Linked DNA regions of Mus musculus. The protein of the gene in region 1 binds, or shares a complex with, the protein of each later gene. Links are inferred from orthologs where the notes say so. Each region holds a gene or a part of one and is shown in the gene's direction. Other genes may lie near its edges.

Region 1 (3,819 bases):
TGGATATGTATGTGGACACAGAACCTGTGCCTACAGAGGGCTGCCCCAGTTTCTTAGAATTACCTCCTAGAGTGCTCGGCTGCAGCCCCGTTGGTAGAGTATGCCTGTCTAGCACACAGGAAGCCCTGGTTCATCCCCAGTACTGTGAAAACTGGGCAGGGTGGCACACGCCACACAGGAGGTGGCAATAAAAGGATTGGTTGTTCAAGATCATCGCCAGCTACACTTCACGCTATGTGAGACCCTGTCCTAAAGTGGAAGGGGGGTCAGAAGAAACCCCTACCTCAGAGGCTCTCAATGTGTAGTTACACATTCTTTGCCTGAAAATTCAACCGGTTTTCACTCCCACTATTCCTGTACCTGGGTAGAATATTATTAATTTTAAATATCTGTCAGTCTGGTTGTTAATATAATATTAATTATATATAATATACAAATATATAATTATATCTTAATATATCAATTATAGTATATGATTTTGTATATTATAATTAATATAGAATTAATATATTAACCTTTATCATATATAATTATGTCATGTATTATTATATGATTAATATTAACCACTGTTATAACATTCATTTCCTCAACCCACTTTAAGACTATAGTACAGTTCATTTTTCTGAGTTGAAATGCAGGTGTTATTTAATGTTTTTGTTCAGTATTCCTTTCTCCTGCAATGTTTCTGCATCACACAGTGTGAAGGGGCTGGTGAAAGAGTAATGTCTGGGTGCATTCACAGGAAGGTAGGGTACAGGCCGGGTGATGCACTGTGCGTCTTGCCTGGGCTGTACAGAGATGTGATTCTTGTCATTGTCATTTAAAAGTATTCATTTTATGCCAGGCAGTGAAGTGGTGGTGCACACCTTTAATCCAAGAACCCAGGAGGCAGAGGCAGGTGGATTTGAGTTCAAGGCCAGCCTGGTTTATAGTTTGAATTCCAGGGCAGCCAGGACTACACAGAGAAGCTCTGTCTCAGAAAACCAACAAAAAAATAATTGTATCTTTATTTATGTGTGTTATACGAATATGTGCGTGCGTGCGTGCGTGCGGTGCCTTTGGAGGTCAGATGAATATGTCTGATCTCCAGGAGTTGGAGTTAAGGGTCACTGGGAGCTGCCTAACGTAGGGACTGGATCCAAACTCAGGCCTTCCTCAAGCACTCTGGAGTGCTCAGCCATCGTCCCAGGCCCCTGGGGCTCTTCTTTAAGCACACCAACAAAGCACTCTTTTGATTAAACTCAATGGTGAAGGGTGTGGAGAGAGGGAAGACACAGGCCTTGAGTGCTGAGAGGATAAGAGGGGCAGAGGGGAGAGTGACTATTAAAACCGACAGGGCTCTGTGTACATGGGGCAAACTCCATTTATAAGGTGCATTTATTTTAGATGGTTCTAGAAGGAAAAAAAAAAAACCTCACAGATGGAATACAAAAGTTAGCTAATTTGAATCTTACTTTAAAACATTCCTGCAGGGAACCATAGTGCACACACACCTTTGATGCCTGTGCTTGGATTAGAAGTTCAAGGTCACCTTCAGTTATGTTATAGGTTCAAGGCCAGCCTGGAATATATAAGACCCTGTGTCTCAAAGACGAAAAGGGAGGGGGCTGGTGGTGCAGTTAGCGTGAAAGAGTGCTTACCTAGCATACATGGAGCCCTGGGGTTGATTCTCAAGCACCATGAAAACCAGGCATGGTAGCCCACGCCTCCAATCTAAGCACTTGAGAAGTGGAGGCAGGGGGATCCGGAGTGTAAGGCCATCCACATAGGAAGCTTGAGGCCAGACTGATACACATAAAAACTTTTTTTCTTTAAAACCTTTTTTTTTCTAGTATTTTGTATTGTTGTATGACTTCCACCAGAGGTAGTGAGCGAGCAGCTTGCCTCTGGAGGTATTCCAGTAAAGCCTTGCATTCATAGTGCTGGTAAAGGGACCTGCCAACAGCCGTTGGAACACGGAGGTGGATGGGACCAGTCCTGCCTCAAGCCACTGCCATTGGAATACAGAAGAATCAGCTCCATCGAGGTGGGCAGGTAGGGCTGACCTGTGCCTCTCTCTGCAGCATGCATACCTGCTGAAGCTCAAGGTCATGTACACTGTAGGCTACAGTTCCTCCTTGGCCATGCTCCTGGTCGCCCTCAGCATCCTGTGCTCTTTCCGGTGAGAACATCCTGCCCACTCTCAATACTCCCTCAACCCCCGCCTGCAGGGACACAGTCCTTAAATCTCTCCCTATTACTCAGGATGGAAGGGGGGGCGCTGCCCGGCCATCTTGATAAGCTCAGGATAGCTATGAATCTAGCTCAACACAAAATTGGAAACTTAAAACATGTTTTTGGGGTTTTTTTTTGTAACTCACAAAAGGAGTAAATTTTGTAGATGAAAATGTGCTATTGCAATATCATGCAAAAAAATGTATGTAAACATATGTATGCATGCCTTCAAATCCAGAAGGCGGTGGTTGGACACCCCTGGATTTAATGTGCGTTCCAAGACAAGTCTTTGTCCAGTGCAGTCCAGAAAAGCTGAAAGGCTGGACACCCTCTATGCAAAGCTCTCTTGTGGGGTTAGGGATGTGGCTCCGTTAGCAGAGTGCCCACCTATCAAGCACAAGGCCATGGGTTCAGTCCCCTGAACTGCATAAACTGGAAACAGTGACACATGCCCTGTGGCTACCCCAGGTGGAGGTAAAAGGATCAGAAGTTCATGGTCACCCTTGGCTACAAAGGCAATTGGAGGCCAGACGAGGCTGTGAACGATCCGATCTCAAAATAAAATAATGGCAAGGAGAACCAGTAACAAACTTCCAGTCCCTAGAGCACAGGAGAAAACTGGGGAGCTGGAGGTGATGGTTGGCCAGGGCAGAAGACATGTTGCTGTTCCAAAACTAGTGATTATGTTACTCCATTCTGTTCTGGTCTATTCTGTCCTGAGTCATGGTATCACCAAGTAGCCCCTGGGAGCCTAGAATCTGAGATGATCCCTCTGCCTCCACCACCCAGGTGCTAGGATTACAGGCATGCACCACTAGGCCTGGCTTTCTTCAGTACAGTACAGGATGTGCCAGGCACCTAGGGACCTATGCCCTCACTCGAGTTCTCTTAGCAGAGACAGATGGGACCTGAGGGCTGGTGGCAGGGCTTTGGTTTCTCCATGCAAGGGGAGGGGGCAGGGGCAGGTACACCTGTGTGAGCACCAGCCCCTCCTTCCATGATCTCGCAGCCCCACATTCTCTCTGACAGGAGGCTGCACTGCACTCGCAACTACATCCACATGCACCTGTTTGTGTCCTTCATCCTTCGCGCCCTGTCCAACTTCATCAAGGACGCCGTACTCTTCCCCGCAGATGACGTCACCTACTGTGATGCCCACAGGGTAACATGACTAAATGTCCTAGACTGACCTTGGAGAGAACCAAACCCCATAGCATAGTGTCCTCCTTGCAACGCGCCATTAAGATTACACAGATACGGTGCTTGGCAGGAAGTGGGAGTTCCAGGAGGTTTCCTAATGCAGCCGTGGAGGCATGATGTAAGCCGCGTATATTAGAATCTGTGGAGGCTGCCTTTGGTTCCGAGGGCTCAGAGCGCCCCAGCTGCTCTGGAAACTAGACCTCTGGTGAGACTTCTCTTTTCTGGACTCTGCCAACTCCCAGCTACAGACAAATGGCAAAGTCTGGGAGAAGTTGCCGGTTATTGGAGTGGGGAGAAAAAGCGAGTTTGCACCTGAATGTCTGCACACACACGTCTTCAGAAGAACAGCATTTTACCAAGTCTGACCTATTTTCTCTCTTCCGGTGTCCAGATAGCTCTTATGTC
Region 2 (3,044 bases), on another chromosome or scaffold:
ATTCCTTTGACAGAGTACTAGCACAGCACAACACTGGTGAGGCCCCAAGGGCCACTCCTAGCACCCTGTAAAACTAGGCCATGTTGCCACACTCCTGTAATACCAGTACCCCAGAGGTACTGGCAGGAAGATGTGAAGTTCAAGGTTATCCTAAGCTATGTAACAAATTCCTGGCCAGCCTGGGGTATATGAGACCTTGTCTCAAAAATGCAAAGCAAAGAAGTCCCAAGCTGCCAAACCCCTCCTCCCAAACTGCAAACAGAGCTGGTCTTGGTGGCTCAGATTTGCAATCTCTGCTGTTGAGGGTCCAGGCCAACTTGGGCTACATAGTGAGATCAAAGGCAACGTGAGCTAAATACTCCGTCTCCCCAAAAAAAACAAAAAGAAACAATTCCTAATAACAAAACCAAACAACAATATGAACTAACCAGTACCCCAGAGCTCTTTACTCTAGCTGCATATGTATCAAAAGACGGCCTAGTCGGCCATCACTGCAAAGAGAGGCCCATTGAACTTGCCAACTTTAGATGCCCCAGTACAGGGGAACACCAGGGCCAAAAAGGGGGAGTGGGTGGGTAGGGGATTGAGGGGGGTGGATATGGGGGACCTATGGGATAGCATTGAAAATGTAAACGAGGAAAATACCTAATAAAAAAAATTAAAAAAAAACAAAACCATATGATTTTTATCTGAGAGTTAGCTCCTAACAGTTCTCTGGGTTTGTAATTTGATATTAAGGGTTATCTTTTTTTTTTTTTTTTAAATATTTATTTATTTATTATATGTAAGTACACTGTAGCTGTCTTCAGACACACCAGAAGAGGGCGTCAGATCTTATTACAGATGGTTGTGAGCCACCATGTGGTTGCTGGGAATTGAACTCGGGACCTTTGGAAGAGCAGTCAGTGCTCTTAACCTCTGAGCCATCTCTCCAGCCCCAAGGGTTATCTTTTTTGATTTGAGTTTCGGTGCTGGGTTGAACTCAGGTCTTGGTGCGTACTGCTACCACTAAGGTCGGGGACTCCAAGTATGAAGATGTTCTGCAAGCCTATTTGTCTTCAATCCCCATCCATAGCTCCCCGCCCCAACTCCTTTACAACCTCTACCCACCTGCGTTTCTTTTATTCTAACCTATCTCCATTTTCTGCTACCAATTCAAATAAACTGTCTCCTTCCATCCAAAAATGCAACCCCAGGCCTACGAGGATTCCCATTTTGTTTCTGGTGCTGAGCTGCCCTTAAGGTGGTTATCTGCAGTAGTCTACCCTGCCCTGGCTTCAGCAGGAGCGCTAGGACACTGGTCTTCCTTTCCTCTCAGTCGTCTGCCTGCCCTAGGCTCCTCAAGACACCTACAGCTCCTTCCAGACAAGAGTGCGGCAAGGTCTTGGTCTAGGCTAGGCTCCAAGATGAGTTGAGGTCTCACAGTGCGGTTCGCTCTGCCCGTCCTGAACTGCCACCCCTATTTTCTATCCCTGGACACAGATGAAGATGTCCATTTCGCTACTTGGTAGCACTACTCCTCTAATCTCCCCCCCCAAGGCAGTTGAGGGGCGCCAACACGGCGGTAGGGACAGGAGGTGGCCGGACGACAGCTGGGTGGGCGGCCCTGACCTTCCTGCAATCAATGAGGCGGGGCCGGCCGCGCGGAGCCGGGGCGGTGCTGGAGCCCACCGCCGCCGGCGGTCCCGGCAGCTATAAAGCGGTGGCGCGGGGCTCAGGCTGAAGTTGCAGCATTTGTCACACCCAGAGCCCGACCATGGAGCCTCCGCTGCCCACGCCGATGCTACTGCTGTTGCTGCTGCTGCTCTCCAGTTCCGCCGCGCTCCCTGCACCTCCCAGGTGAGCAGGGTTGGGAATCCGTTTCATCCCGGCCACGCCCACACTTCAATTTCTGACCCTTATGGCTTCACCCCTCCCCAGGACCCCAAGACACTCAGACGGAATGTTCACCAGCGAGCTCAGCCGCTTGCAGGACAGTGCCAGGCTGCAGCGCCTGCTGCAGGGTCTGGTGGGGAAGCGCAGGTGAGCCCGCGCTAGGTAGAATTTTCCAGACTGGCTAGTATGGGACAGGCCCGCCACATCCCTGTACACCACTAATTCTACTTTGGGCGTGGGGGTGGGGGTGGGGTCAGCGAGCAGGACACAGAAAATATCCCAGAGAACAGCCTGGCCCGGTCCAAGCCCTTAGAGGACCAGCTCTGCTTGCTGTGGTCGAACACTCAGACCCTACAGGACTGGTGAGTTTTCCATCCTCAGCTGGATTCCTAAAGTGCCCCAGCCAGGTGGGTACCCGCACTCTGATGGTCACTCACTAGTCCCCTCTCCTTCCACAGGCTTCTGCCCAGGCTGTCCCTGGATGGGTCCCTGTCTCTCTGGCTGCCTCCTGGACCAAGGTCTGCTGTTGATCGTTCAGAGTGGACTGAAACAACCAGGCCACCCAGATGAGGGAGGAAGAGTCTCTAGGACCCTGGCTGGAGTAGGGATTGGTTGTCCTTGGCATCAATAAAAAAGGAATTTAGACCCTGGTCTTTTAGCTCATGGTGTGTGATGTCTGATAAAATGAAGGCCGCCTCTGCTCCGAGAGCCTGGAAGGCGTGGACAGATCCAGCCATCTCATTCAGTGGCTAGGACCACACCCAGCTGCCCTTTGAACCCAAGAAGCCAGCTAGGACATTTCTTATCTCTGGCATCAGCTGAACCCCTCTTTTCCCAGCTGAATTCCCTAGAGTGCCACCTTGCCCTGTGGTCCATTTAGCAAAATTTCTAGGGATCAGGGACTCCCCACCCTGGTCCAGCCATGTGGCCAGGGTAAATGAAGTGGTGAGGAGGAGGCTCAGGCGGGGTCATAGGGGTCCGCTTATGAGTGGGAGGACCTGAGTACATCCTGGCTCTAACATGTCTAGGCCTGAGGCCTGACGGTGATGTCATCTCCCAGTAGGCAGCTGTAGGACCAGTGAAGGGTTGTGAGACAGTGCTCAGTCTTTGCAGAGGCTTGGAGCCTCGGGAAGGTTTTCAGACACCTAAAGCAGCCAGCCCTGCAAAGG

The links.
Region 2: the proteins of Sctr (region 1) and Sct are in contact, whole or in part, in a cryo-EM structure (PDB 6WZG), measured with the Homo sapiens proteins. The link is inferred for Mus musculus from reciprocal best matches to the Homo sapiens genes SCTR and SCT. Residues at the interface, in NP_002971.2 of Homo sapiens: Arg30, Leu31, Cys32, Leu35, Asp71, Asn72, Pro117, Val125, Val127, Asn128, Asp129, Asn132, Arg135, His136, Leu139, Leu140, Leu142, Lys143, Tyr146, Tyr150, Arg188, Asn192, Lys195, Leu199, Phe200, Ser202, Asp203, Val205, Met219, Phe222; in NP_068739.1 of Homo sapiens: His28, Ser29, Asp30, Gly31, Thr32, Phe33, Thr34, Ser35, Glu36, Leu37, Ser38, Arg39, Leu40, Arg41, Glu42, Arg45, Leu46, Gln47, Arg48, Leu49, Leu50, Leu53, Val54.

What each region holds. Positions count from the first base shown.
Region 1 is NC_000067.6:120,041,388-120,045,206, forward strand, and holds part of Sctr (secretin receptor isoform 1 precursor), read left to right. Parts: intron 1-1,920; coding exon of another isoform or gene 1,921-2,034; intron 2,035-2,063; coding exon 2,064-2,161; intron 2,162-3,243; coding exon 3,244-3,376; intron 3,377-3,819.
Region 2 is NC_000073.6:141,277,811-141,280,854, reverse strand, and holds Sct (secretin isoform 2 preproprotein), read left to right. Parts: upstream 1-1,721; 5' UTR 1,722-1,756; coding exon 1,757-1,839; intron 1,840-1,920; coding exon 1,921-2,022; intron 2,023-2,132; coding exon 2,133-2,237; intron 2,238-2,315; coding exon of another isoform or gene 2,316-2,333; coding exon 2,334-2,445; 3' UTR 2,446-2,526; downstream 2,527-3,044. UniProt on the Homo sapiens protein: Hormone involved in different processes, such as regulation of the pH of the duodenal content, food intake and water homeostasis.